Anolis sagrei: one gene and its partners. The protein of the gene in region 3 interacts with the protein of the main gene of each other region in a biochemical or structural test. Links are inferred from orthologs where the notes say so. Each region holds a gene or a part of one and is shown on either strand. Other genes may lie near its edges.

Region 1 (7,828 bases), on a different chromosome or scaffold from region 3:
GCCCACCACACCTACTTGGATGGGGAAAGAGGGAGCAGGAGGATTAGCCAATGAAGGCAAGCAACATCTTGCTTTCTCTGAGGAAAACTAGTACAACCGGAGGGCAAGGATGTATCCCCTGGTGCAAAATTTGAGACAACAGGAGTAACACGAATTTATGGCGCTGTGGACGGTTGAAAACTATAGGGGGAAACAGTGCCCGCCATTGATACCTGTGGGAGATTATTACAAATACATCGCACTAGAATATATATCAGTGTTGTCTGGGAATGCATTTTAATTATAATTCTTACCTGTCTGTGCTTGTGGCTCGAGGCAGGTTACAGAATAATTAAAACACATAAATATTGTAAAAATACTACAAATACACATATTAAAATGTATTTCTATAAAATACATGTTAAAATACACAAAACAGGGATTAAACAAAGGACACACATTTAAAATTCATGCTTAAAGATTGGCTGGGTAGGTTTGCCGGAAGATATTACATATATTAGATATATGTGTTTATATTACATAGAATATATATGTAATGCTATTATGATTATTATGATTTTGTATACACACACACACACACACATGTCAGGACTGACTTGAGAAACTGCAAGTTGCTTCTGGTGTGAGACAATTGGCTGTCTGCAAGAATGCTGCCCAGGGGATACGCAGATGTTTTGATGTTTTGACCATCCTATGGGAGCCTTCTCTCATGTCCCCGCATGGGGAACTAGAGCTGAGACGAGAACTCATCCCGTTCCCCGGATTCGAATCGCCAGCCTGTTGGTCGGCAGTCCTGCCAGCACAAGGAGTTTAACTCATTGCACGACTGGGCACTTCTACCATTATTGTATAAATAGTATTATATATATTATGCTTATATATTTATGTGTTATATTACATGTTATATATTGTATATTATATGTATTTTATATTAGATATAATATATGTATAATATACATATATGTAAGTAGGACTAAGATTATCATTATTATATGTATAGTATTAAGTATATAATGTTTATGTAATACTATAAAAACAAAATGCTTTGAATGCAGTTTTCCTGCTTCTTGGCAAGGGGTTGGACTAGATGGCTCACGAGATCTCATGATTAGCATGATTATGTGTATAGTATTATAAATATATATGGAATATTACATATATGTCATATTTAGATATGACATATATTATGTTTATTCTATTTATGTGTTATATTATATATATATATTATTTTAGATATATATGTTTTACATTACATATAAGATTATCATGATTATATATATATATATATATGAGCCCCCGGCGGTGCGGCGGGTTAAACTGCTGAGCCATTGAACTTCCTGACCGAAAAGTTGACTGTTTGAATCCAGGGAGTGGGGTGAGCTCCTGCTATTAGCCTCTGCTTCTGTCAACCTAGCAGTTTGAAAACATGTAAATGTGAATAGATCAATAAGTACTGCTTCGGTGGGAAGGTAATGCCGCTCCATGCAGTCATGCCGGCCACATGACCTAGGAGATGTCTACGGACAACGCTGGCTCTTTGGCTTAGAAATGGAGATGAGCACCACACCCCAGAGTTGGACACGACTAGACTCAATGTCAGGGGAAATCTTATTATATATATAAAAGGACTGAGCTGTTCAGCAGTGTAACTCTCTGCCCCGGAGTGTGGTGGAGGCTCCTTCCTTGGAAGCTTTTAAACAGAGGCTGGATGGCCATCTGTCAGGGGTGATTTGAATGCAATATTCCTGCTTCTTGGCAGAATGGGGGTTGGACTGGATGGCCCATGAGGTCTCTTCCAACTCTATGATTCTATATTGATCGATGTTTTACAGTATATACAATATTATATTAGATATATGTGTTTTATATTGCATACATGTGTAATACTTACATTATATTATATATAGTTAGGACTAATCTTACCATGATGAGATCTATAGCATTATATATATTATAAGACATATAGAGAAATTCACATTATAGTAAACAGCATATATATACATAAATACACAATCTATGATACACAAAATTATATATTATATGTATATATAAAATTGTGATTACATATATTAGATATATGTATTTTATGTGACACAGAATATATGTTATCTATATTATATTTATATATTATATACATAATTCTATTTACAGATAATATTAGATATATCTGTTATATATAATATTTATTATATATAAATATAATTCTATTTACAGATATTATATTAGATACATGTGTTTTATATGACATAGAATATGTTATATATATATTTATATATTATATACATAATTATATTTACATATATTATTAGATATATGTGTTATATATAATATTAATATATTATCTGTAAATATAATTGTATTAGATATATGTGTTTATATTGCATACATGTGTAATAAATACATTATATGTAATTAGGATTAAGCTTATCGTGACGAGATGTATAACATTATTTATAAGACATATATATTATATTATAATTATATAGAGAATTATAGAGAAATTCACATTATAGTAAACAGTATATATATATAAACACACACATATATGATACACAAAATTATATATTATATGTATATATAAAACTGATTACATATATTATATTAGATATATGTATTTTATATGATATAGAATATATGTTATACATATTATATTTATATATTATATACATAATTCACAAAATTATATATATGTCTATATAAAACTGTGATTATATATATATTATATTAGATATATGTATTTTATATGACATAAGAATATGTTATATATATTATATTTACATATTATATACATAATTCTATTTACATATATTAGATATATGTGTTATATATAATATTAATACATTATATGTAAATATAATAGATATATGTATTTTATATGACATATAATATATATATTATATTTATATATTATATACATAATTATATTTACAGATAATATTAGATATGTGTTATATATAATATTAATGTATTATATGTAAATATAATTCTATTTACACACAATATTATATGAGATATATGCGTTTATAGGCCATATCCCATTCTACCTACATTCTGCGCGGGTTCTCCCAGGGCTTCAGCGGAGGAGGAGGGCTGCCCGCCATCTTGCTTCTTCTCCGCGCAGCCGCAGAGCAACGCCGCCTGCCTGCCGAGCAGAGCGTCGAGAGATCGATCCATCGCCCCGCCCACCCCTTTTAAACCAGCGCTGGCTCGTCTTGCACGTCTGTCGATCGGACGCCTCTGTCTGCAGCTGCTCAGGTCTGCCTTGGACCAAAGAGATAAACAAAACTCCAAATACATAATCACACATGGCTTCCGGTTCCCAATTGCACTCTACACTGCAGAATGAATGAATGACGTTCATTTGAAGTGCCCCGGCTCCATACAACTCCTGGGAGCTGTAGTTTTGCAAGGGTGTTCTCTGCCCATAGGGATAGTGCCTCATGAAACTATTACTTCATAGAATCATAGAATCAAAGAGTTGGAAGAGACCTCCTGGGCCATCCAGTCCAACCCCATTCTGCCAAGAAGCAGGAATATTACATTCAAATCACCCCTGACAGATGGCCATCCAGCCTCTGTTTAAAAGCTTCCAAAGAAGGAGCCTCCACCACACTCCGGGGCAGAGAGTTCCACTGCTGAACGGCTCTCACAGTCAGGAAGTTCTTCCTCATGTTCAGATGGAATCTCCTCTCTTATCGTTTGAAGCCATTGTAGTCCATCTGAGAGTTCTTGGAGAACGGGAGAAGTTCCAGCAGATTGGAGGAGGGCCAATGTGGTCCCAATCTTCAAGAAGGGAAAAAAGGATGACCCAAACAACTACCGTCCGGTCAGCCTCACGTCGATACCGGGCAAGATTCTGGAAAAGATTGTTAAGGAAGCGGTCTGCAAACACTTAGAAACAAATGCAGTCATCGCTAATAGTCAACATGGATTTATCAAAAACAAGTCATGCCAGACTAATCTGATCTCTTTCTTCGATAGAACTACAAGCTGGGTAGATGCGGGGAATGCCGTGGATGTAGCGTACCTGGATTTCAGTAAGGCCTTCGACAAGGTCCCCCATGACCTTCTGGCAAGGAAACTAGTCCAATGTGGGCTAGGCAAAACTACGGTGAGGTGGATCTGTAATTGGTTAAGTGGACGAACACAGAGAGTGCTCACTAATGCTTCCTCTTCATCTTGGAAAGAAGTGACGAGCGGAGTGCCGCAGGGTTCCGTCCTGGGCCCGGTCCTGTTCAACATCTTTATTAATGACTTAGATGAAGGGCTAGAAGGCATGATCATCAAGTTTGCAGACGACACCAAATTGGGAGGGAGAGCCAATAGTCCAGAGGACAGGAGCAGAATTCAAAACGATCTTGACAGATTAGAGATATGGGCCAAAACTAACAAAATGAAGTTCAACAGTGACAAATGCAAGATACTCCACTTTGGCAGAAAAAATGAAATGCAAAGATACAGAATGGGTGACGCCTGGCTCGAGGGCAGAACGTGTGAAAAAGATCTTGGAGTCCTTGTGGACAACAAGTTAAACATGAGCCAACAATGTGATGTGGCGGCAAAAAAAGCCAATGGGATTTTGGCCTGCATCAATAGGAGCATAGTGTCTAGATCTAAGGAAGTAATGCTACCCCTCTATTCTGCTTTGGTTAGACCACATCTGGAATATTGTGTCCAATTCTGGGCACCACAATTCAAGAGAGATATTGACAAGCTGGAATGTGTCCAGAGGAGGGCGACTAAAATGATCAAGGGTCTGGAGAACAAGCCCTATGAGGAGCGGCTTAAGGAGCTGGACATGTTTAGCCTGAGGAAGAGAAGGCTGAGAAGAGATATGATAGCCATGTGTAAATATGTGAGAGGAAGCCACAGGGAGGAGGGAGCAAGCTTGTTTTCTGCTTCCTTGGAGACTAGGACGCGGAACAATGGCTTCAAACTACAAGAGAGGAGATTCCATCTGAACATTAGGAAGAACTTCCTGACTGTGAGAGCCGTTCAGCAGTGGAACTCTCTGCCCCGGAGTGTGGTGGAGGCTCCTTCTTTGGAAGTTTTTAAGCAGAGGCTGGATGGCCATTTGTCAGGGGTGATTTGAATGCAATATTCCTGTTTCTTGGCAAGGGGTTGGACTGGATGGCCCATGAGGTCTCTTCCAACTCTTTGATTCTATGATTCTATCCTCAGCTGCTGCAAGATCATGCAGATGGACTACAAGCAGAGGCATAACACCATTGCTCAGATGATCCACTTGAACTTGTGCCACAAAGACCATCTGCCTGTGACAAAGAACTGGTGGGACCACAGGCCTGAAAAAGTTACAGAAAATGAACACATCAAACTACTCTGGGACTTCCAAATTCAGATTGACAGAGTTTTGAAACACATTACTCCTGACCTCATGCCCGTGTTAAAAATCCAAGTATGGATTGTCGATGTTGCAATCCCAGGCGACAGCAGGGAAAGCTGACACGATATGAGGATTTAAAGATCGAACTGCAAAGACTCTGGCACAAACTAGTAAAGGTGGTCCCAGTGGTGATTGGCACACTGGGTGCAGTGCCTAAAGACCTTGGCCTGCACTTAAACACAATCAGCACTGACAAAATTACCATCTGCCAGCTGCAGAAGGCCTGGGATCTGCATGCATTATTCACCGATACATCACACAGTCCTAAACATTTGGGAAGTGTCCAATGTGTGATCCAATACAAAAGCCAGCATGGTGATCCTGTTTGCTGTGGACTCATCTTGTCGTGTTTCAAATAATAATAATAATAATAATAATAATAATAATAATAATAATTCGACTTGTGATTTTGTGATACGAAATCCAGCATATATATCTCGTTTGCTGTGACGTACTGTGCTTGTTTCAGTAAAATAATAATAATAATAATAATAATAATAATAATAATGGGTTGTTGTAGGTTTTCCGGGCTATATGGCCATGTTCTAGAGGCATTTTCTCCTGACATTTCGCCTGCATCTATGGCAAGCATCCTCAGAGGTAGTGAGGTCTGTTGGAAGTAGGAAAATGGGTTTATTTATCTGTGGAAAGACCAGGGTGGGACAAAGGACTCTTGTCTGCTGGAGCTAGGTGTGAATGTTTCAACTGACCACCTTGATTAGCATTTAATGGCTTGGAAGTGCCTGGGGGAATCTTTCTTTGAGAGGTGATTTGATGTGCCTGATTGTTTACTCTCTATTGTTTTGCTGTTGTAATTTTTGAGTTTTTTAATACTGGTAGCCAGATTTTGTTCATTTTCATGGTTTCTTCCTTTCTGTTGAAATTGTCCAATAATAATAATAATATTAGGTTCTTGTGGGTTTTTGTACTTGTGGGTTTTGTAATAATATTTTGTGTCAATAATAATAATAATTGGGGACTTGCATATAAAGCTTTCATTATGTAAGGAGAGAAGACATTATTTTTTTTCTCAGAATAAAAAGGACCAGCTGGTCCTGGCTTGTGTGCTGCAAATGGGAACCGGAAATGTGGGTTGAAGCTCATAGTGACCGCATCCCTTGGTTTCTGTTAGCCTGAAGTGTTGCTTCTAGGAAGCAGGGTCTTGTTGCCCCTTCTTACCGGAAGTGAGGGCGGAAGGGAATGTTCTCAGGACGGACCTGGTGTGCATTAGCTCAAAAGGTCCCCCATAGTCATTTTTTGTAAGTGAAGCAGGTGGATGAGCTGGAGACTGATCCCTTCATTTACTTTGAAGTAAGGCATCCAAATTGAAGGGAAAGATATTCCAGCTAAACATCAGGAGCAGTTCAGCAGTGGAATAGGCTGCTGCCTCAAAGTATGCTGGAGTCTCCTCCTCTGGGAGGCCATCTGTTGGGAGGGCTTTGGTGGTGTCTTCCTGCCTGGCAGAATAATTTTGTTGGACTGGGTGGCATTGTGTATGTGTATCTCTTCTGACTCATGTGATCCACAGATTCATTTCCTTCAAGCTTTGGCAATGAAACTAAAAAGCATTTTTCCCCTTTTCGAACAGACTTTGACCGTGATGATTGCATTGACAGAAAAGGACAGGCCTGTGGCTCAGAAGCTGCTGGATTTCGGGGCGTGCGCACGCTGTGTTCTTAGGTTCTGCCGGGTCGGACTGCAGGCCCCGTACAGGCCTCCACATCAGGTAGAGCCAGTTGTGCCCATACCTTGGGAAGTCGGACTTGGCCGTGGTAATCCATGGTTTGGTTACATTCCAAATAGACTACTGCAACGCGCTTTACGTGGGTCTGCCTTTGAAGATTGTTCAGAAGCTATTTATTTTATTTATTTATCGTGTCATCAGCAACCATACCTTTGTATTACATTTCTAACAGAACAAAACAAACAAACAGAGAAGAAAGCACAAATTTTGCAAACTTGGTAGTTGATTAAATGTCCTTTGACCAGTATCTGGCCACTTGGAGTGCTTCTGGTGTTGCCGCAAGAAGGTCCTCCATTGTGCATGTGGCAGGGCTCAGGGTGCATTGCAGCAGGTGGTCAGTGGTTTGCTCTTCTCCTCACTCGCATGTCGTGGATTCCACTTTGTAGCCCCATTTCTTAAGATTGGCTCTGCATCTCGTGGTGCCAGAGCACAGTCTGTTCAGCGCCTTCCAAGTCGCCCAGTCTTCTGTGTGCCCAGGGGGGAGTCTCTCATCTGGTATCATGCATGGATTGAGGTGCTGGGTTTGAGCCTGCCACTTTTGGACTCTCGCTCGCTGAGGTGTCCCAGCGAGTGTCTCTGTAGATCTTAGAAAACTATTTCTTGATTTAAGTCGTTGGCGTGCTGGCTGATACCCAAACAAGGGATGAGCTGGAGATGTCACTGCCTTGGTCCTTTCAGTA
Region 2 (8,532 bases), on a different chromosome or scaffold from region 3:
GGGTGCCTGCGCCCTACACCACTGGAGAAATTACACTGCTTAGCCGGTATTGCACCACCTGACATCCGCCGGGAAGTAGCAGCCAATAGTGAAAGGACCAAGGCAGAGACATCTCCAGCTCATCCCTTGTTTGGGCATCAGCCAGCATGCCAACGACTTAAATCTAGAAATAGTTTTCTAATATCTATAGAGACACTCGCTGGAACACCTCAGCAAGCGAGAGTCCAAAAGTGGCAGGCTCAAACCCAGAACCTCAACCAATGGCTGTTATCAAATGAGAGACTCCCCCCTGGGCACACAGAGGACTGGGTGACTTGGAAGGCGCTGAACAGACTGCGCTCTGGCACCACGAGATGCAGAGCCAACCTTCAGAAATGGGGCTACAAAGTGGAATCCTCAACATGCGAGTGTGGAGAGGAGCAAACCACTGACCACATGCTGCAGTGCAACCTGAGCCCTGCCACATGCACAATGGAGGACCTTCTTGCAGCCACACCAGAAGCACTCCAAGTGGCCAGATACTGGTCAAGGGACATTTCATCAACTACGAAACTAACAAGTTTTGTATTTTGTCTGTTTGTTTGCTTTGTTATGTTAAAAATGTAATATAATCGACTGGTTGCCCTGACACGATAAATAAATAAATAAAAATAGCAGTGGAACTCTCTGCCCCGGAGTGTGGTGGAGGCTCCTTCTTTGGAAGCTTTTAAACAGAGGCTGGATGGCCATCTGTCAGGAGTGCTTTGAATGCAATATTCCGGCAGGGGGTTGGACTGGATGGCCCATGAGGTCTCTTCCAACTCTACGATTCAGGGCCTTTCCACACAGTCGTATAACCCAGAATATCAAGGAGAATAATCCACAATATCTGCTTTGAATTGGGTTTTCCAAATCCACACTGCCATATAACCCAGTTCAGTGTGGACGTTATGCAGCTGTGTCGAAGCTGGGCCTCTTAGGTATGGGAGGATATTGTGAATGCACCAAAATCCTGCCTAGAAAAATTCTGCGCATTTGGATGTGCTGTGAATGTCAGGGTTAACAACACCATGCAACCTGTTGCTGGACAACAAATACTCTGATGAGTAATAGCTGGTCATGGGATGCATTGTCTAACTAGCCCTTTTTCGAAGAACAACTGTTGCACACAAGCCTTTTGGTACAAAGGATCTGGGTATGAGTGTTTCTTCATTTCCTCCACAGTCTTGCTTCTAAGATGAAGCAGAGAACAAAAGACTAATAAACATTAGAGAAAGAGTGGGAGAGAAAGGAAGTGAGAAGTGGAGGGAGGGAAGTGTTATGTACTTCTTGAGCGTGACCTAAAATTGCTTATTATTCTGGCAGCTTGCCCGACGTAGGAGAGCCTCCGGCCTTGAAAGTGCCCCGATGCAGCTGTATTTGCAAGAGAGGGAAGGAAAGTAAAAATTTTATCTGCCTGTCAACAGGAGGACACTCTCTGATATAACAAAACCTTGTTCCTTTGTCCTTCAGAACCAGTGACGGAAAGAACGTAGGCATCCCGATACACTCACAGTTGCTACTCTTCAATCTACTCTGCTCTCTGGGAATGCAAAACTATTTTAAGTGCCACCTTGGTGCCAAACGTGGAAGGCCTCAGGGCTGTTTTGACTGCTCGAGCAGGAATCAAGCGGGAGCAACTGAAACCAAACAGGGTTTCTAGAGGAAAACGGAAAGCTACCAATCCCAAAGCTGGAGTTGACTGAATAGGGACACTTCCCGAACGAGATAAAATCAGGTCAGGGCCTCAGCCTTGCCTGGGTCAAAGTCAATGAAAAAGCATACAAAAGAAGAGAAGTAAACAACGGCACCGGCAGGTTGTCTCTTTTGCAGAGCCAATTTCCTTTCAGCCTGAGCAGGAATTTAAGAAGTTGCCTGCCTTTGTATCATGGCTCACTTCTATAGGAAAGGGAAAACGGCAACTACAGGAAAAAACAGAAACACCCACCACCTTTTCTGAAATTTTCCATAGTTCAATTCCCTCTTTAGGTCTACCACTAGCCTGTCATTTATGAGGGTAACTTGGATTTTCTCGCCAAGTTCCCCACAACATTACCTTGTGCCCCCCATAGAAGGCAATCTCTTCAGAGTTGGCGACCACCCGGGAATGCATGTAGCGCAGCTCCCCTTTCCGGCGAGCCTCCTCAGCCACCAGTTGCCCAAACTTTGGTGAACAGGCGCGCAGCACCTTGGCCGTGATGCCCACCACCAGCCCGGCAATGACCGAAGGCCAAACAGTGTCGGCCCCCTTGGATCTGGCCGAACTGACCAAGGTGTAGGACGTCACGATGAGGTCGAGGACCGGCTTGGTCACGTTGGAGTAGAGGTGGGCCACCGAATTGGCGAAGGCCACCAGATCTTCGGTGAGAGACTGGTCTGGGTTGCGCAGGCGCCCGTCCATGTTGCTGACCCGGTAGTAGGTCTGGCCTTGGAAGTACAGCTTATAGGCATGGTCCACCAAGCGCCCACGGAAAGCCAGACTCAGCTGCCCCTCCAGGTACCGGATGGCGCTGTTGACGAAGGTGGCCGGGAGGGCAATGAGCAGCCACTGCAAGAGCTGCCAGGCAAAGTCGTTGGGGTTCTTGCGGACGATGCAGCGGGCCAGTCGCCCATCTAGTTGGGCCACGTAGACTGAGAGGAAGGTACGGCTGGCGAGAGCGGCCGAGTGCAAGGCCAGGAGCCCTGTCTGCCGGCACAGTGGCCCTGGAAACAGCAGGCGCAGGAGACGCAGAAGGCGCAGGAAGAAGACCCTGTTGACCCCGGGTGGCGATGCCGCAGCTGCCTCACCCGGCATTTCCCACTTGGTTGGTGGCCCATTGGCACTGGGCCTGCTGTTTGAGTTTGGCCGGAGCTCAGCGGTGGCCCACTGTCTCCTGAGGATGGGATACAACTTCTTGGCACCATATGCGGCCACCAGCAGTGCCACGGCCGCTCTCTTTGCCGTCACCCCTTGGGTCAGCCGTGATGCCACCTTGGCAGTGGCTAGGGGCATGTTGCCACCAAGGTGGGCCCAAGGCCCCTTGCTGCTGGCCCCCTCTCCCCTCCTCCTCCTCCTCCACCTCTTCCTCTGCCTCCTCCTCCAGCTCAGCCTAGTGCTCTCTGCCTGGCTGTGGCAACACTGGCTTCTCAGCCAGGCTCCGCTCTCATCCCATAATGACCCACCCTCCAACTGACACTCTGGGAGGGGACAGGGAAAGAGCCACCCTCCTCTAGATCATAGACAAACCCTGAGGCCACGCCTAGACAAGACGTAGCAGGAAGGAGAAAAAAAACAACAGAGGCCTGGTCGTTTCTCCAAGCAGCCACTAGATGGCGCAGCGTAGAGATCTCTGCACAAACCAAGGTTGTACAGAGAGAGGCTTTTTCTCTGTGCTCCAGCCTGGGATCATCTTTTTGAGCCCAACCCTAATGTTATATCCCTTAGGATTAAATGGGACATAGTCCCAGCTAGTCAGTATGCTCAGGAGTTTGCAGTAAAGCTAGATAATCTCCACTGTTTTGTTGGTTTGGATTGATCTGGTGCATCCAATGGGATTTTGGCCTGCATCAACAGGAGAATAGTGTCTAGATCAGTGTTTCTCAACCTGGGGGTTAGGACCCCTGAGGGGGTCGCGAAGGGGTGTTGGAGGGGTCACCAAAGACCATCAGAAAACACAATATTTTCTGATGGTCATGGGGATTCCATGTGGGAGGTTTGAGCCAATTCTATCGTTGGTGGAGTTCAGATTGTTATTTGATTGTAGTGAACTATAAATCCCAGCAACTACAATTCCCAAAAGTCAAGGTCTATTTTCCCCAGACTCCACCAGTGTTCACATTTGCGCATATTGAGTATATGTGCCAAGTTTGGTCCAGATCCACCACTGCGTGAGTCCACAGTGCTCGCTGAATATAGGTGAACTACAACTCCCAAACTCAAGGTCAATGCCCACCAAACCCTTCCAGTGTTTTCCATTGGTCATGGCAGTTCTGTGCGGCAAATTAGGTTAAAAATAATCGCTGGTGGAGTTCAGAATGCTCTTTGATTATAGGTGAACTATAAATCCCAGCAACTACAACTTCCAAAAGTCAAGGTCTATTTTCCCCAGACTCCACCAGTGTTCACATTTGCGCATATTGAGTATATGTGCCAAATTTGGTCCAGATCCACCATTGCGTGAGTCCACAGTGCTCGCTGAATATAGGTGAACTACAACTCCCAAACTCAAGGTCAATGCCCACCAAACCCTTCCAGTGTTTTCCGTTGGTCATGGCAGTTCTGTGCAGCAAATTAGGTTCAAAATCATCGCTGGTGGAGTTCAGAATGCTCTTTGATTATAGGTGAACTATAAATCCCAGCAACTACAACTCCCAAATTACAAAATCAATCCTCCCCCAACCCCACTAGCATTTACATGTGGGTGCATTGGGTATTTGTGCCCAGTTTGGTCCAGTGAATGAAAATACATCTTGCATATCTGATATTTATATTATAATTTATAACAGTAGGAAAATGACTGTTATGAAGTAGCAACAAAAACAATGTTATGGTTGGGAGTCACCATAACATGAGGGACTATATTAAGGGGTCACGGCATTAGGAAGGTTGAGAACCACTGGTCTAGATCTAGGGAAGTCATGCCACCCCTCTATTCCGCTTTGGTTAGACCACACCTGGAATATTGTGTCCAATTCTGGGCACCACAATTGAAGAAAGATATTGACAAGCTGGAATGAGTCCAGAGGAGGGCGACTAAAATGATCAAGGGTCTGGAGAACAAGCCCTATGAGGAGCGGCTTAAAGAGCTGGGCATGTTTAGCCTGAAGAAGAGAAGGCTGAGAGGAGATATGATAGCCATGTATAAATATGTGAGAGGAAGTCACAGGGAGGAGGGAGCAAGCTTGTTTTCTGCTGCCCTGGAGACTAGGATGCGGAACAATGGCTTCAAACTACAAGAAAGGAGATTCCATCTGAACATGAGGAGGAACTTCCTGACTGTGAGAGCTGTTCAGCAGTGGAACTCTCTGCCCCAGAGTGTGGTAGAGGCTCCTTCTTTGGAAGCTTTTAAACAGAGGCTGGATGGCCCTCTGTCAGGGGTGGTTTGAATGCAATATTCCTGCTTCTTGGTCCATGAGGTCTCTTCCAACTCTAGGATTCTATCCATCCATTCCAAGCTCTAATTTTAACATGAAAGGAGTGGTTTTAGTTCCTAATATCAAAATGTTGGGAGTGGGAAAAGGGCTTGCTTGTCAGCAATATTTGGGTGTTCCTTGTCATCTATAACTTCATCACACTACAAACACTTTAATTCCGGTTTCTGCCTCCTGCAGAATTCTGGGGTTTGTAGTATAGGGAGGCTGTTAAAGGCTCCCCCTAAACTACAAACCACAGAATTCTGCAGGAGGCAGAAACCGGAATTAAAGTGGATTCATTCTCTAGTGTGATGAGGTCGCTGGTCAAGAACAGAGTTGTCAACGAATGTATGTTCCTGATGTATGAAATGTATGTATGTGTGGAAGAAAAAGAACCAAGATTTAAATCAGGGGTCCTCAAACTTTTTGAACAGTCGGCCAGGTCACAGTCCCTCAAACGGTTGGAGGGCCAAATTATAATTTGAAAAAAAAAAACATGAATTCCTATGAACACTGCACATATCTTATTTGTAGTGCAAAAACACTTTAAAACAATACAATAATCAAAAGGAAGAGGGCAGATATAATTTCATTTTGGAGGGAATTCCATAGCCAAGGGGCCACCACAGAAAAGGCCCTGTCTCTTGTCTCCACCAAACATGCCTGCGAAGGAGGCGGGACCGAGAGCAGGGCCTCTCCAGACGATCTTAGCACTCTTGATTGTTCATAGGGGAGAATACGTTCGGCTAGTGTGTGTGTGTGTGTGTATATATATCACGAAAACCATTATGCAATGTTGGACATTGCAAATGGTCGGTGCCAAAAGTTCCTCTGTGCTGTTCCTCTAGAGAAAGCTATTGCAGTTTATGGGGTGCTTTAAGAAGATAGCTGCATTATACAGACTCAAAGGTCATAATCCCGGGCAGAGCTGAACTGTGGCCCTTTGGATTCTATGTTCTGCATCAGGGATAGCCAGTTGTGATGTGGGTGTTGTAATCTAAAAATATCTAAAAATACATAGGAGATGTATTTTATGTGACAGGAGGGAACTTTGTGGTTTCCCTGACTTTGTGGCTCCCTTCCGCTGAAACTGGCCATATGCAAGAAAGAAAAGAGGTAGTTCAAGAAGGACCATGAGCAGCAGAAATGGTTGTGCAAAGGTCACAGCTAGAACCACAGAGATTAGACTTAGACTCTGTCCTGCATCTTGTCTGGCTTAGCCCCAAAAGGTGCTTTCTCAATCGGAAGAGGCTAAAGGTTGTCATCCTTCAGACACAGTTCTCAAAAACAGCAGCACCATCCAGAAGCTAACTCTCTCCTTCAAGTGTCAGCCACAGTTTCTTGCTCATCTGGAGATCTCAAACACTGCAAGAAATAAAAGAAAAGGTCCTGGAAAGAATAGGAAATAAGCAAGAGGGACCAGGCTTATTTTCTGCTGCCTGAGAGACTAGGACTCTGAGCAATTGGTTCAAATTACAAGAAAGGAGATTCCACCTGAACTTTCCTGACTGTAAGAGCTGTTCAGCAGTGGAACTCTCTGCCTTGGAGTGTGATGGAAGCTCCTTTCTTGGAAGCTTTTAAACAGAGCCTGGATGGTCATCTGACGGGAGTGCTTTGATTGTGCTATTCCTGCATGGCAGAATGGGGTTCGATTGGATGGCCCATGAGATCTCTTTTAACTCTATGATTTCCAGTTTTACACAAAAGGAGAATGTGTCACTGGAACCCTTCCACCTACTGAAAATATGGATTGATGTTTCTGGGGGATTTTAGGAGGGACAACTCATCCGCATCTAAAATACGGAGGGGTTGATGATCACAAAAAATATCGAGGGGGTTAATATATTTCAACCATCTTTGTATTAGTTAATTTGGAGTGAAGGTGAAAGAGACATATTGTTCCTCTGTGGTAAGCCAGAAGAAATTTCAGCCTGCATTTTTCCAATGCAATGCCCTAACATTCTTTATCTGTGAGGCAAAGGGCACTCCCGGACTCCATGGGTATATCTGAGAACACAGTTATACTTGGATGTGAGGAAACTTATCACTACACTGCACGCTTACATAAGCAAAGGTCAGGATCAAGATGGGGTCTATGAGTCTTGTTACATAAAAGATGTCACAATCTCTTATGCTGTTTTGAAGACTAGGACACAGTAGAGCAATGGATTCAGATTGCAGGAAAGGAAATTCCAGCTGAAATTTAGGAAGAAGTTCCTGATGACAAGAGTCGTTTGGTAGTGAAATATACTGCCTTAGAGGGTGGTGGAATCTCCTTCTCCTTCCTGAAAAGCTCTCCGTTGGCTTTGGCTGTGTATTTCTGCAAAGCAGTGGGTTGGACTGGATGATCTTTGTGGTCTCTTCCAATTCTATGATTCTACTAGCCGTCCCCTGCCACGCGTTGCTGTGGCCCACATGGGGGTTCTGTGTGGAAGGTTTGGCCCAATTCCTATCGTTGGTGGAGTTCAGAATGCTCTGTGATTGTAGGTGAGCTATAAACCCCAGGAACTACAACTCCCAAATGTGAAGATTCAATTTTCCCCAAACTCCACCAGTGTTCACATTTGGGCATATTGAGTATTATTGTAGAGTTTGGTCCAGAACCATCATTGTTTGAGTCCACAGTGCTCTCTGGATGTAGGTGAACTACAACTCCAAAACCAAAGGACACTGCCCACCAAACCCTTCCAGTATTTTCTGTTGGTCATGGGAGAACTGTGTGCCAAGTTTGGTTCAATTCCATCGTTGGTGGGGTTCAGAATGTTCTTTGATTGTAGGTGAGCTATAAAACCCAGGAACTACAACTCCCAAATGTGAAGATCCTATTTTCCCCAAACTCCATCAGTGTTCACATTTGGGCATATTGAGTATTCTTGTAGAGTTTGGTCCAGATCCATCATTGTTTGGGTCCACAGTGATCTCTGGATGTAGGTGAACTACAACTCCAAAACCAAAGGACACTGCCCACAAAACCCTTCCAGTATTTTCTGTTGGTCATGGGAGAACTGTGTGCCAAGTTTGGTTCAATTCCATCGTTGGTGGGGTTCAGAATGTTCTTTGATTGTAGGCGAACTATGAATCCGAGCAACTACAACTCCCAAATAACAAAATCAATTTTTTTAATTAAGAACATACATTGGGTTGTTAGGTGTCTTGTTTCCAAATTTGGTGCCAATTCGTCCAGTGGTTTTTGAGTTCTGTTAATCCCACAAACCAACATTACATTTTTATTTATATAGGTAAGTTTCCCAAGAAAACCTAGCCATAACCAGGATCCAAGAAGCATTCACTTCCAAGCTTGTCAAATGGGTGTAAATCATATAATCTCCCAGATGCTGCTGGACTGCAACTCCCAGCATTCCTCAATATTGACTGAGTTGGCTAGGGCTGGAGCAACACAAG
Region 3 (7,620 bases):
TGCTACTCAAGGTGACCAAGGGCAATATTCACACATGCCTCAAGCAGACAAGAGTTCTTTCTCCCACCCTGGACATCATTCCACAGATATACAAATCCCACTTGCCCAGTTTCCAACAAGCCTCACAACCTCTGAGGATGCCTGCCATGGATGTGGGTGAAATGTCAGGAGAGAATGGGACATGGCCAGACAGCCCGGAAAACTCCAATTCCAATTCCATACAGAGAGATGTTTTATGAAACCAAGGATAGGTCAGGAATGCTCCCTGAATGGCAGAGATTGGCCTCTCACAAACAAAGCTTTGCATCAGCAACCAAAAATTTCAAAACATAGGCTTCCCACCCTCGGTCAGCGACTCACCGACTCGGCCCGCTGCCTCCGAGAGCTTCTGGAACTGTTCGACCAAGTGGGGCTCCTCCTCAGCCAACTCCTTCATGGCCTTCTCAAATTCGGCGGTGGCCTGAGAAGCAAGCTCACTGTCAAAGAGGTCCTGGAAGAACTTCTCCTGGGAGGCAAAGAGGGAATCCTGAGAAGAGAAGAAGGAGGAAGAAGCCAGCTCAGTTAAATGATTCTATTACAGTGTTTCTCAACCTTTCTAATGCTGCGACCCCTTAATACAGGTCCGCATGTTGTGATGACCCCCAACCATAACATTATTTGCACTGCTATTTCATAACTGTAGTTTTGCTCCTGTTAGGAATCGTCTGGACCAAACTTGGCACAAATATTCAATATGTCCAAATGTGATGGGAAAAATTAGACGTTGACATTTGGGAGTTGTAGTCGCTGGGTTTATTGCTCACCTACAATCAAAGAGCATTCTGAACTCCACCAGCGATGAATTGAGCCAAACTTGGCACACAGAACTATCACAAAATATTGGAAGGGTTTGGTGGGCACTGACATTGAGTTTTGGAGTTGTAGTTCACCTACTTCCAGAGAGCACTGTGGACTCAAACAATGATGGATCTGGACCGAACTTGGCATGAATATTCAATATGCCCAAATGTGAACACTGCTGGGGTATGAGGAAAATAAACCTTGATATTTGGGAGTTGTAGTTGCTGGGATTTATAGTTCACCTACAATCCAAGAGCATTCTGAATTCCACAAGTGATGGAATTGAACCAATCCTGGAATACAGAACTCCCATGACCAATAGGAAATACTGGAATAGTTTGGTGGACATTGGCCTTGAGTTTTGGATTTGTTGTTCACCTTCGTCCAGAGAGCACTTTGGACTCAAACAATGATGGATCTGGCCCAAACTTGGCATGACCAAATGTGAACACTGGTGGAGTTTGGGAAAATTAGACCTTGACATTTGGGAGTTGTCATTGCTGGGATTTATAGTTCGCCTACAATCAAAGAGCATTTTGAACCCTACTAACGATAGAATTTGGCCAAACTTCCCACACAGAACCCCCATGCCTTGAAGGGACTTGCTGGAGAGAACCTTGCTCCAGCCTCGTACGCTCTCCCTCGCCTGTACATCCGCACTACGCTGCCATGCGATGAGCATGTCTGCTCTCCCCTTCCTGCTTGGAGCCTCAGAAACAGCCCTCGAGTGAGAGGTCAGCCAATTGCAGTGGAGGAGGGCTTTTGGTGGATTTGCCAAAGGAAGAGAAGGACAGGCGGGGAGATCTTCAACCTTCTCTGCCAAAGGGGTTCCTATGACCATCAAAAATATATGTTTTTTGACCGTCTTTGGCGACCCCTCTGAAACCCCCTTGTGACCCCCCTTACTTGAATAAATAAAATGAAAATAAAAATAAAATAAATATATGTTTTCTGATGGTCTTTGGCAACCCCTGTGACACCCCCTCATGACCCTCCCATCAGAGATCCCAATTACATTTTCCTGAATTCTACTCTCTTGCTGAATGAGGGATTCATTCCAGAAGAAAACACTTTCCCAAGCTCTCTTTGCTACCACAATGTCCCCCCAACTCAGCACTGAAAGTTTATCTAACTTTCCATACTTTTGCAGCATCTCCCGGTGATTTCTCAGCGCTGCTGCTGCTGTTGTCCCCAACGGTGGCAGCGGAGGAGGGAGGCACAGCAGTGGGCTTGGTCTTATCAAAGTCATCAAGGGCACCTGCATCGGGGAGGAGCGGAAAAAAAGTGCATACTGAATATTGTTCTCCAAGAACTTCCTGTCTGTAAGAGCTGTTTAATAGTGGAACTCTCTGCCTCTGAGTCTGGTGGAAGCTCCTTCCTTGGAGGCCTTTAAACAGACACTGGATGGCCATCTGTCAGGAGGGCTTTGATTGTGCTTTTTCTGTATGGCAGGGGATTGGACTAGATGCCCCATGAGTTCTCTTCCAACTCTATTATTCTATGATTAGGAATAATTCCCTGACTCTAAGAAGAGCTGTTTAACAGTGGAACTCTGCCTCAGAGTCTGGTATAAGCTCCTTCGTTGGAGGACTTCAAACAGAGGCTGGGTGACCATCTGTCAGGAGGGCTTTGATTGTGCTTTTCCTGTATGGCAGAGGATTGAACTAGACGGTCCATGGGGTCTCTTCCAACTCTATTATTCTATGATTAGGAAGACCTTCTTGACTGTAAGATGAACTGTTTAACAGTGGAACTCTCTGCCTCAGAGTCTGGTATACGCTCCTTCATTGTAGGCCTTTAAAAGGAGGCTGGATGGCCATCTGTCAGGAGGGTTTTGATTGTGCTTTTCCTGCCAGGCAGGGGGCTGGACTAGATGGCCTAGGTGACCTATTCCAACTCTATGATTCTGGGAAGAACTTCCTGACTGTTCAGCAGTGGAACTCCCTGCCTTGGAGTGTGGCGTAAGCTTTTAAACAGAGGCTGGCCATCTGTCAGGGGGGTAGGGTGTTATTGAGCTTTTCCTGCATGTCAAGGGGCTGGACTAGATGGCCTCGGTGGTCTCTTCTAACTCTATGATTAGTAAGAACCTCCAGACTGTAAGAAGAGCTGTTCAGCAGTGGAATTCTCTGCTTCGAAGTCTGGTGGAAGCTTTCAAACAGAGGTTGGATGGCCATCTGTCAGGGGAACTAGATGGCCTAGGTGCTCTCTTCAAATCTATTATTCTATGATTAGGAAGACCTTCTTGACTGTAAGGAGAACTGTTTAACAGCGGAACTCTCTGCCTCAGAGTCTGGTATAAGCTCCTTCGTTGGAGGCCTTTAAACAGAGGCTGGATGGCCATCTGTCAGGAGGGCTTTGATTGTCCTTTTCCTGCCTGGCAGGGGGTTGGACTAGATAGCCTCGGTGGTCTCTTCCAACTCTATGATTAGGAAGAACTTCCTGACTGTAAGAAGAGCTGTTCAGCAGTGGAACTCTCCGCCTGGGAGTCTGGTCTCCTAAGGCTCCTGTTCCAAACTCCCCTCCAAAGCCCCAACTGGGGCATTCCCGCCTTACTTACTTTCAAGCAACTCCTCCAGCTCTGGGTCCGTCGACGTCGCCATTTCCGGGAAGCCGGGAAACAGAGGAAGGAAAGGAGGAAGCAAGGCCACTCACTCGGTCGGCAGAAGCCTCCGAAGGCCACCGGGCTCGCCTAGGCCCAAGGAAGCGCCTCTGGACTACGACTCCCAGCAGCCCAGGGCGGCGGCGTGCCTTGGACGCGACCGCTGAGGCATTCTGGGAGTCGTAGTTCTCGAGTCGCCGCCATCTTGCCCCTCACTGACAAGCCTTGTCAACCATTGACAAGCCTTGCACTTTGGAAATCTTGTGACATAATTTGGATATTATTATATTATATTATATTATATTACTCTATTACATTATAGGAGTCTGCAATTTAGACTCTATTACATATATCTATTATTTTATATATAATAATATATTAGTTTATAATATATATAAACTAATATATTATAATATATAAAATAATATATATAATATATTATATAGTTTATAATATATTATAAACTATTATATATATAATATATTAGTTTATATTATATATTATTATTGCATATTATTTTATATTACTCTATTATAGTATGTGAGTCTATAGTATAGACACTGCATGATTATATATATTGATTACATTATATTATATACAAGATCATAATATAATATATAAAATATATGATTTTATATTATTACTGTAGACTCAAATAATACAGCAATATAATATAATATATATTATATAATATATTATAATATATTTATTTATTATTTATTTCAAAGTTTTATATACCGAGCTTCTCACCTCATAAGAGGGACTCAGCCCGGTTTCCAACCATAAAAACACATACAATCGGTAAAATATCAAAATACACATTACAATAAAACATTAAAAGGCACATATATTTAAAACTACCGTGGTCAGTCGTCGTACTAAAATTGAATATAGACCGTCTTCCATCCAGATCATTGTCTCATTCTTCAAAAGCCTGTCTCCATAACCACGACTTCACCTGTTTCCTGAATGTCAGGATTGTTGGGGCGGTTCTAACCTCTGGCGGGAGAGATTTCCAGAGCCGCGGGGCCACCACCGAGAAGGCCCTGTCCCTCATCCCCACCAGCTGCGCCTGTGAGGCTGGTGGGACCGAGAGCAGGGCCCCTCCAGACGATCTTAGTAATCTTGATGGTTCATAGGGGAGAATACGTTCGGAGAGGTAAACCGGGCCGGAGTCATTTAGGGCTTTATAGGTTAACACCAGCACTTTGAATTGTGCTCGGAAGCGAATTGGCAGCCAGTGGAGCTGGTGTAACAGCGGAGTGGTGTGCTCCCTGTACCCAACACCCGTTAGTAGTCTGGCTGCCAAGCGCTGGACTTGCTGCAGCTTCCGGGCAGTCTTCAGAGGCAACCCCACGTAGAGAGCGTTGCAGTAGTCTAAACGGGATGTAACCAAAGCGTGGACTACTGTGGCCAAGTCAGCCTTCCCAAGGTACGGGCACTGCTGGCGCACAAGTTTTAGTTGTGCAAAAGCTCCCCTGACCACCGCCGAGACCTGGGGTTCCAGGCTCAGCGAAGAGGATATATATAGGATATATCACCCTATTATATTATATGTGTCTAATAATATATATTAAATAAAGAATTACATTATATATATTATGTTATATTACTCTATTATATATAATACAGTATATATTATTATTGTATTATATTGTATTATATTATATTAATGTAATCAATATATAATAGTTTAGATAATGCTGTAGACTCATATAGAGTAATATAAAATATAATATAAATAATATATTGTATTACTCTATTATATATAAAATAATAAATATATAATATAATGTAGAGTCTATACTGTAGACTCATAATATAATAGAGTAATATAATAATTTAATATATATTATTGTATATTATATAATAATTAATAGCGACAAAGTTGAAGTACTTTGGCCACATCATGAGGAGACGGGAAAGCCTAGAGAAGACAATGATGCTGGGGACAGTGGAAGGCAAAAGGAAGAGGGGCCGACCAAGGGCAAGATGGATGGATGGCATCCTTGAAGTGACTGGACTGACCTTGAAGGAGCTGGGGGTGGGGGCGGCCGACAGGGAGCTCTGGCGTGGGCTGGCCCATGAGGTCACGAAGAGTCGGAAATGACTGAACGAATGAACAACAACAATTACTCTATTATATATATTATAGTGTAATCAGTACAGTATATTATATAATATACTGTACTGATTACTGTCTTTACTATTTTAATATGTAATGATTTTGCACTTGTTGTTCTTTATATGATTGTATTTTATATATGCTGTAAACCGACCTGAGTCCTTCGTCGAGGTGAGAAGGCCGGTATAGAAAATTTCTAAATAAATAAATAAATAAATAAATAAATGTAATAGTGTAGGTAATATCAAACAAAATACTAATATATTATTTATTTAATATATAAAATAATAATAAAGAATATATAAAATAACAATAAATAATGGAACTGTATTATATATAAAATAATAAATATATAATATAATGTGCTTCATTGACTATTCTAAAGCCTTTGACTGTGTGGATCATAATAAATTGTGGCAAGTTCTGGGTGGGATGGGCATCCCAAGCCCCCTTCCCTCTCTCCTGAGGAATCTGTACAAGGACCAAGGAGCCACAGTCAGAACTGACCACGGAACAACAGACTGGTTCAAGATTGGGAAAGGCGTCCGGCAAGGCTGCATCCTCTCACCCAACCTTTTTAGCTTGTATGCAGAACACATCATGAGAGGATGTGCGGGGCTGGATGAATGCAAAGCTGGGGTGAAAATTGCTGGAAGAAACATTAACAACCTCAGATATGCAGATGACACCACTCTGATGGCCGAAAGCGAGGAGGAGCTGAGGAGCCTTCTAATCAAGGTGAAAGAAGAAAGCGCAAAAGCCGGGTTGCAGCTAAACGTAAAAAAAACCAAGATTATGGCAACAAGAATGATTGACAACTGGAAAATAGAGGGAGAAACCGTGGAGGCCGTGACAGACTTTATATTTCTAGGTGCAAAGATTACTGCAGATGCAGACTGTGGCCAGGAAATCAGAAGACGCTTACTTCTTGGGAGGAGAGCAATGTCCAGTCTCGATAAAATAGTGAAGAGTAGAGACATCAGACTGGCAACAAAGATCTGCCTAGTCAAAGCCATGGTATTCCCTGTAGTAACCTACGGATGTGAGAGCTGGACCTTCGGGAAGGCTGAGCGAAGGAATATCGATGCTTTTGAGCTGTGGTGCTGGAGGAAAGTGCTGAGAGTGCCTTGGACTGCGAGAAGATCCAACCAGTCCATCCTCCAGGAAATAAAGCCCGACTGCTCACTGGAGGGAAAGATACTAGAGACAAAGTTGAAGTACTTTGGCCACATCATGAGGAGACGGGAAAGCCTAGAGAAGACAATGATGCTGGGGAAAGTGGAAGGCAAAAGGAAGAGGGGCCAACCAAGGGCAAGATGGATGGATGGCATCCTTGAAGTGACTGGACTGACCTTGAGGGAGCTGGGGGTGGTAACGGCCGACAGGGAGCTCTGGCGTGGGCTGGTCCATGAGGTCACGAAGAGTCGGAGACGACTGAACGAATGAACAACAACAGTGTCTATATTGTAAACTCATAATATAATAGAGCAATATAATACAATACATTATAATAATATATTATATTATTTCTGTTTATCCCAGATTATCTGGAAATGTGGAGTCATACAATCCAGTTTAAAGAGCGCATTATTCGCCCATACATCATCTAGTCCAATACAAAAGCCAGCAGAGTGATCTTACTTGCTGTGTACTAATCTTGTTGTGTATCAAACAACAATAACAATAACAATGATGATGATGATGGCAGTCCATTCATTCCTTAATGGAAGGAAGCGAGAGAGTGCAGGGAGTCTCCCATTGACTGTCCTTTGCCGCCCCCAAGTGGCCGATCCGCCCAATTGCAGCCTGGAAGCCCCGCCCCTTGCTTGGCGAGTCCCCGGTTGCCAAGGCGGCGGCGCCATACCCAAGTGGATGGCGCCTGCGAGGGGATAAACCCAGGAGTGTCTGCAGAGAGAGCCCTTCCTTCTCAGTCCGAGTGAGTCCTAATTGCCATCTCATAGGAAGAGTCTCCCCTAAAGGCCATCCAGTCCAACCCCTTCTGCCTGGCAGCAAAACACCACCAAAGCCCTCCCGACAGATGGCCATCCAGCCTCTG
Region 4 (7,839 bases), on a different chromosome or scaffold from region 3:
CTGGAGGGGCCCTGCTCTCGGTCGCACGACCCTCGCAATCACGTCTGGTGGGGACGAGGGACAGGGCCTTCTCAGTGGTGGCCCTGGAACTCGGCTCTGGAACTCTCTCCCACTGGAGATTAGAACTGCCCCTTCTCTGCTAAGTTTTAGAAAGCTAGTGAAAACTTGGCTCTGGAATTTAGCATTCAATAACTCTTGACCACATGGACAGATGGTGATGAATTGTGATTTCTGATGACTGGCCTTATGTAATTATATGATTGTATTTTAATGTATTAGTGCATTATGTGATGTGATATGTTAAACTATTGTTTATGAATCTTTTGTTGTGAACCGGCCTGAGTCCCTCTGCGGAGGTTGAGAAGACCGGGTTATAAAAGTTCTAAATAAATAAATAAATAAATGTCAAGGGTGGATGAGAGCTAACAAATTGAAATTGAATCCAGACAAGACAGAGGTCCTACTGGTCAGTCGTAAGGCCGAACAGGGCATAGGGTTAAAGCCTGTGTTAGATGGAGTTACACTTCCCCTGAAGATGCAGGTTCGCAGGTTGGGAGTGATCCTGGACTCATCGCTGAGCCTCGAACCCCATGTCTCAGTGGTGTCCAGGAGAGCTTTTACACAATTAAAACTTGTGCACCAGCTGCGCCCGTACCTTGGGAAGCTGGATCTGGCCACGGTGGTCTACGCTCTTGTTACATCCCGAATAGATTACTGCAATGCGCTCTACGTGGGGTTGCCTTTGAAGACTGTTCGGAAACTTCAATTAGTCCAACGGGCGGCAGCCAGATTACTCACTGGAGCGTCATACAGGGAGCATACCACCCCCCTGTTATGTCAGCTCCATTGGCTGCCGATCCAGTTCCGAGCACAATTCAAAGTGCTGGTTTTGACCTACAAAACCCTTTACGGTTCCGGCCCAGCGTACCTGTCCGAACGTATCTCCTTCTACGTCCCACCTCGGAATTTAAAATCTGCTGAGGGGGCCCTGCTCTCGGCCCCACCTTTATCACAAGCGAGACTGGTGGGGACGAGGGACAGGGCCTTCTCGGTGGTGGCCCCTTGCCTGTGGAATGCACTCCCCGGGGAAATTAGGACATCAACATCCCTCCTCTCCTTCAGGAAGAAGCTAAAAACCTGGATGTGGGACCAGGCCTTCAGGTAAGCTGGCAGATGGACAAAGACAACCAAGAATGACCAGAGTAGGAAAGGACAATGACAATGCTAAATGGTTTACGGACTTGGATTTGGTGAACACTGACCACAAGATGTTTTTATTGCTGCTAGTATACTGTCTGATTGTTTTAATTAGTTATAACTATGATATTATGTGGTAAATTTGTGTATTGTATATTGCATTGTATGTTGTAATTGTTAGGCATCTAATTGTGCCTTTTGTAAGCCGCCCTGAGTCCCCCCTAGGGGGTTGAGAAGGGCGGGGTAGAAGCACCCCAAATAAATAAATAAATAAATAAATAAGGGAAACCTATACCCTGACAATAAGGGAAACCTATACCCTGACAAAGGAGCCCCCAGTGGCGCAGTGGGTTAAAGCACTGGGCTGCTGAGCTTGTTGATCGAAAGGTCGCAGGTTCGATTCCGGGGAGCAGCGTGAGTTTCCGCTGTCAGCCCTAGCTTCTGCCAACCTAGCAGTTCGAAAACATGCAAATGTGAGTAGATCAATAGGTACTGCTCCGGCGGGAAGGTAACAGCGCTCCATGCAGTCATGCCGGCCACATGACCTTGGAGGTGTCTACGGACAACGCTGGCTCTTCAGCTTAGAAATGGAGATGAGCACCACACCCCAGAATCAGACATGACTGGACTTAATGTCAGGGGACTACCTTTACCATTACTATACCCTGACAAAGACCTCTGGGCCCGTCCTGACCTCTCCCTTACCTTGTGGCCACGGTAGAAGGCGATCTCTTCCACGTTGGCGATGATGCGGGAGTGGACGTAGCGCAGGTAGCCCTTGCGCTGGGCCTCCTCGGCGACCAGCTTCCCGAAGCGGGGCGAGCAGGCCTTGAGGACCTTGGCGGTGGCGTAGACGACCAGCCCGGCCAGGAGGGTGGGCCCCACGGGGCTGGCCCCTCGGGAGCGGGCAGTCTGGATGAGAGTGTAGGAAGTGAGCACCACGTCCAGGATGGGCTTGGTGAGGTTGGAGTAGAGGTGGGCCACTGACTGGGAGAACATAGCGATGTCTTCGGTGAGGGACTGGTCCGGGTTGGCCAGCCTCCCGTCCATGTTGATGACCTTGTAGTAGGTCTGGTCGGCGAAGTAGGTGCGGTAGGCGTGGGCGACGAGGCGGGTGCGGAAGGCCAGGGCCAGCTGTCCCTCCAGGTAGCGGATGGCGCTGTTGACGAAGGTGGCGGGGACGGCGATGGCCAGCCACTTGAGCAGCTGCCAGGCGAAGCGGCGGGGCTTCTTCTCCACGATGCTCTTGACGATCTTGCCGTCCAGGCCGGCCACGTAGATGGAGAGGAAGGTGCGCGAGACCAGGGCCACCGAGTGCAGGCCCAGCCAGCCGCTCTCCCGGCCCAGCAGCTGCGGGAACAGGATCTGGCGCAGCTCCAGCAGCTGGCGGAAGAACTCCGCGTTGGCCGCCGGGGAGCCGCGAGGGAGCGGCGGCGAGGTGGAAGAGGAAGGCCGCAGCAAGAGCGACGACGCCTCAGGGAGGAGGAAAGCACCGCCCGCGTCTTCCTCCTGCGCCGGGAGAGGATGCTGAGGAAGCGGCGCCGCTCTTCTCCTCTTCCTGAGGCGCCAAAGCAGCCTCAGCCCGTACGCCGCCGCCGCCAAGCAAGCAGCCCGCCTCAGCGCCGCGCTGGACCGGCTCCATGTCTGCCTGGCGGGGGCCTCCCGCGCCGCGCTCATGGTGGCTTCCCTCACCCTCATCCACACCGCTTCTCCCTCAGCCCCGCTCCCGCTCTGCCGCCGCCATCGCCACCTCGCGCCATGCCCCGCGCGCCGCCACAATAATCTACCTCGCGCTCGCCCGCTTTCTCTCCCTCGCTCGCTCTCTATCTTCTCAAGCCCCGCCCCTCCCGCCCGCTCATTGGCTGCGTCGGGCCCTTGGGGGAACCTTCGCCTCGCGACGCCGCCGTTGCTAAACCCTCTTCTCCAAGGCAAACCTGCGCGATTGGAATGGATGCTGCTGCTGCTGCTAGAGTCCAGCTGGCTCGTGCCGGGGCTGCGCGCGCAGCTTGTGGGCGCGTGCACCTGCTCCTGACCTCGCTATTGCTGGGTTGTTGTAGATTTTTTCAGGCTATATGGCCATGTGCTAGAGCAGGGGGTCCACAAACTTTTTAAACAGAGGGCCAGGTCACAGTCCCTCAAACTGTTAGACGGTTGGACACAGCATATTATTTTAAAACACAGAAATGCTGGACCACTCCAACAACCACCATGTCAGACTACACAGAGAAGCCATTGAAATCCACAAGCATGTGGACAATTTCAACAGAAAGGAAGAGACCATGAAAGTGAACAAAATCTGGCTACCAGTATTAAAAAACTCTAAAATTACAACAGCAAAACAACAGAGAGGAAACAACCAGGCACATCTTAACACCTCCCAGCAAGAGATTTTCCCAGGCTCAGGCAGGCCTTCAAATGCTAATGAAGGTGATCAGTTGAAACATTCACACCTAGCTCCAGCAGGGAAGAGCTCTTTGCCCCACCCCAGCCATTCCACAGATATATAAACCCATTGTCCTAATTCCAACAGACCTCACTACCTCTGAGGATGCTTGCCATAGATGTAGGCGAACCGTCAGGAGAAATGCCTCTAGAACATGGCTCTATAGCCCAAAAAAACCCACAAGAACCTATTGTTAGACGGTTGGATTATAATTAGGAAAAAAAAAACATGAATTCCTATGCGCTCTGCACATACCTGTTCAAGGAGCCCCACTGGCTGCCCTTCATTTTCCGGTCCCAATTCAAGGTGCAGGTGCTTACCTACAAAGCCCTAAACGGTTTGGGACCCGCCTACCTACGTGACCGCATCTCCGTATATGAACCCACACGATCTCTCCGATCTTCTGGAGAGGCCCTGCTCACGATCCATCCTGCGTCACAAGCGTGACTGGTGGGGACGAGGGACAGGGCCTTCTCCGTGGTGGCCCCTGGACTCTGGAACTCTCTCCCCAAAGACATCAGACAAGCCCCAACATTGGCAGTCTTTAGGAAGAGCTTGAAGACGTGGTTGTTCCAGTGTGCCTTCCCAGAATAGGAAACTCCAAGCATTATGTCCCAAATGCACTTTACTAGAGATTTAAGATTGTCTGCACACTGCATCTATCTCCAGAAACCTACCTATTTCACCTGTCATGTCCAGCATTTTAAAATTTTTAATCATTACATTTGGCCCGGCTTTAGTTTTTAAATGGGTCGTGGTGTTATTGTCTAATGTTTATTGCTATTGTCTAATGCAGTGTTTCTCAACCTGGGGGTCGGGACCCCTGAAGGGGTCATGAGGGGGTGTCAGAGGGGTTGCCAAAGACCATCAGAAAACACAGTATTTTCTGTAGGTCATGGGGATTCCATGTGGGAAGTTTGAGCTAATTCTATCGGTGGTGGAGTTCAGAATGTTCTTTGATTGTAATGAACTATAAATCCCAGCAACTACAACTCCCAAATGCCAAGATCTATTTTCCCCAGACTCCACCAGTATCCTTCGGGAGATGCTAGCGGGGTACAAATAAAGTTAATAATTAATAATAATAATAATAATATTCACATTTGGGCATATTGAGTATTTGTGCCAAGTTTGGTCCAGATCCACCATTGCATGAGTCCACAGTGCTCTCTGGATGTAGGTGAACTACAGCTCCCAAACTCAAGGTCAATGCCCATCAAACCGTTCCAGTGTTTTCCATTGGTCATGGGAGCCAAGTTCAAATCCATCGCTGGTGGAGTTCAGAATGCTCTTTGATTATAAGTGAACTATAAATCCCAGCAACTACAACTCCCAAATTACAAAATCAATCCTTGCCCAACCCCACTAGCATTCACATTTGGGTGTATTGGGTATTTGTGCCCAGTTTGGTCCAGTGAATGAAAATGCATCCTGCGTATCAGATATTTACATTATGATTCATAACAGTAGTAAAATGACTGTTATGAAGTAGCAACGAAAGTAATGTTGTGGTTGGGGGTCACACAACATGAGGGACTGTATTAAGGGGTCGCAGCATTAGGAAGGTTGAGAACCACTGTTCTAGAGCAGGGGGTCCACAAACTTTTTAAACAGAGGGCCAGGTCACAGTCCCTCAAACTGTTGGAGAGCCGGATTTATTTACTTATTGTGTCATCAGCAACCATACCATTGTATTACATTTTTAACAGAACAAAACAAACAAACAGATAAAAAAACAGAGATTTTGCAAACTTGGTAGTTGATTAAATGTCCTTTGACCAGTATCTGGTCACTTGGAGTGCCTCTGGTATTGCCGCAAGAAGGTCCTCCATTGTGCATGTGGCAGGGCTCAGGTTGCATTGCAGCAGGTGGTCAGTGGTTTGCTCTTCTCCACACTCGCATGTCGTGGATTCCACTTTGTAGCCCCATTTCTGAAGGTTGGCTCTGCATCTCGTGGTGCCAGAGCGCAGTCTGTTCAGCGCCTTCCAAGTCGCCCAGTCTTCTGCGTACCCAGGGGGGAGTCTCTCATCTGGTATCACCCACGGATTGAGGTGCTGGGTTTGGGCTTGCCACTTTTGGACTCTCGCTTGCTGAGGTGTTCCAGCGAGTGTCTCTGTAGATCTAAGAAAACTATTTCTTGATTTAAGTCATTGACGTGCTGGCTGATACCCAAATAAGGGATGAGCTGGAGATGTCTCTGCCTTGGTCCTTTCGCTATTGGCTGCTACTTCCCGGTGGATGTCAGGTGGTGCAATACCGGCCAAGCAGTGTAATTTCTCCAGTGGTGTAGGGCACAGACACCCTGTGATAATGCGGCATGTCTCATTAAGAACCACATCCACTGTTTTAGTGTGGTGAGATGTGTTCCACACTGGGCATGCGTACTCAGCAGCCGGATTATAATTTGAAGAAGAAAAAACATGAATTCCTATGCATGCTGCACATATCTTATTTGTAGTGTAAAAAAAACACTTAAAACTATACAATAATTAAAATGAGGAACAATGTTAACAAATATAAACTTATTAGTATTTCAATGGGAAATGTGGGCCTGCTTTTGGCTGATGAGATAGGATTGTTGTTATGTACTTTCAAGTTGTGATTAACTTCACAATTCAGCAGCAGATCAGTTGCACAACTTCAGCACTTTCCAGTAGCTTCTTCCTGCACAGTATTTTCAGTTAACTACTCCCACAGCCTGCAGTCACTCTGGAAGCTTTTACAGACACTTGAGCACATGCCCAGCCATTGTCAGTTTTAACATTGTCTTTCCCCCAGTCTAGGTGTCATTACAAACTTACCAGAGCACACAGTTATATCTTGTCTTAGCAGACAGGTTCTTTTAATTACATATAGCCTTCCTTCGATGAACAACATCACAGCACAAGGAGAAATATACACTGTACATGACTTCCTTATATACAATTCTATACAATACATACATAGCAATCTCTGATTGATTCCCAACTCATTAACTTAACTCAGACCCAGGATTACATCATTCACAATCACCTGGACTAGGCCAGAACACATTCCCCAAATGATTCCCTATATACAGTTAATGCATGACTCAGCATTTCCAATAGAATCCCATTAGCAGTGCATGACTCAGCTATATTACATTACAATACATAGTAAAATCTGACAGTTTCAGACTTAGGTTGATCCTCAGCAAGGGCCGGGTAAATGACCTTGGAGGGCTGCATTTGGCCCCCGGGCCTTAGTTTGAGGACCCCTGTTCTAGAGGCATTCTCTCCGGACGTTTCGCTTGCATCTATGGCAAGCATCCTCAGAGGTAGTGAGGTCTGTTGGAACTAGGAAAAAGGGTTTATATATCTGTGGAATGACCAGGGTGGGACAAAGAACTCTTGTCTGTTTGAGCTAGGTGTGAATGTTTCAACTAGCACGGAAGACATACATTTAGATTTCAAGGATTATGCTCCTAAGAATGTGTTTTGAGGACTAGAACATAATAGATCTCGTATCTCTTCCATATAATAATCCACTCCTAAGTTTTTTTCAAAGTTAATTTGGTTCTTCAGTATGATTTCTGGAGAGAACTTAATTCTTTTTATTGCTGTTGTGCCTCCAATACCAGTGGCCCAGGGTTCAAACAGGCACACAATACACTCAAATGCATATTCCAGAGTACACAACTCCATTGCCTCCAGCTTTAGTAAATTTGCATGGCGAAGGACAGTACCAAGCATCAGCAGATAGGTCTGTCATCCAGTAGACTATAAACTCATCTGTTTCCTGAGGGACTCCTAAATTGAATGCCCACACAAGTGCATCTTGTCTGACGGGGATGAGAGACAGGGCCTTCTCGGCAGTGGCCCCTCACCTATGGAACACACTCCCAAATGAGGTAAGATCTGCTCCCTCCCTCCTGGCTTTTAGAAAGAAATTAAAATCATGGTTTTGGGACCAGGCCTTCAGACAGTAGATGTATGTAGAGTTTTGGAGGACATGGACTAGAATGACAATACGACTGGCGAGACTGTTTTTATTATTTAGTAGCCGTCCCCTGCCACGCGTTGCTGTGGCCCACTCTGGTGGTCATGCGGGTTCTGTGTGGGAGGTTTGGCCCAATGGTATTGTTGATGGGGTTCAGAATGCTCTGTGATTGTAGGTGAACTATAAATCCCAGCAACTACAATTTCCAAATATCAAGATTATATTTCCCCCAAACTCCACCA

The links.
Region 1: the proteins of PEX19 (region 3) and PEX13 form a complex in vitro, tested with the Homo sapiens proteins (2 studies listed by BioGRID and IntAct, with this or other methods). The link is inferred for Anolis sagrei from reciprocal best matches to the Homo sapiens genes PEX19 and PEX13.
Region 2: the proteins of PEX19 (region 3) and ABCD1 form a complex in vitro, tested with the Homo sapiens proteins (3 studies listed by BioGRID and IntAct, with this or other methods). The link is inferred for Anolis sagrei from reciprocal best matches to the Homo sapiens genes PEX19 and ABCD1.
Region 4: the proteins of PEX19 (region 3) and ABCD2 form a complex in vitro, tested with the Homo sapiens proteins (3 studies listed by BioGRID and IntAct, with this or other methods). The link is inferred for Anolis sagrei from reciprocal best matches to the Homo sapiens genes PEX19 and ABCD2.

Annotation. Positions count from the first base shown.
Region 1 is NC_090021.1:12,577,880-12,585,707, forward strand, and holds the start of PEX13 (peroxisome biogenesis factor 13), read right to left. Parts: upstream 3,150-7,828; 5' UTR 3,102-3,149; coding exon 3,049-3,101; intron 1-3,048. Other genes in the region: tRNA pseudouridine synthase Pus10, read left to right, coding at 7,005-7,130. UniProt on the Homo sapiens protein: Component of the PEX13-PEX14 docking complex, a translocon channel that specifically mediates the import of peroxisomal cargo proteins bound to PEX5 receptor.
Region 2 is NC_090022.1:177,914,545-177,923,076, reverse strand, and holds the start of ABCD1 (ATP-binding cassette sub-family D member 1), read right to left. Parts: upstream 3,225-8,532; 5' UTR 3,011-3,224; coding exon 2,075-3,010; intron 1-2,074. UniProt on the Homo sapiens protein: ATP-dependent transporter of the ATP-binding cassette (ABC) family involved in the transport of very long chain fatty acid (VLCFA)-CoA from the cytosol to the peroxisome lumen.
Region 3 is NC_090032.1:7,362,271-7,369,890, reverse strand, and holds the start of PEX19 (peroxisomal biogenesis factor 19), read right to left. Parts: upstream 3,569-7,620; 5' UTR 3,441-3,568; coding exon 3,398-3,440; intron 2,099-3,397; coding exon 1,983-2,098; intron 527-1,982; coding exon 361-526; intron 1-360. UniProt on the Homo sapiens protein: Necessary for early peroxisomal biogenesis. Acts both as a cytosolic chaperone and as an import receptor for peroxisomal membrane proteins (PMPs).
Region 4 is NC_090025.1:81,653,833-81,661,671, forward strand, and holds the start of ABCD2 (ATP-binding cassette sub-family D member 2), read right to left. Parts: upstream 3,178-7,839; 5' UTR 2,896-3,177; coding exon 1,903-2,895; intron 1-1,902.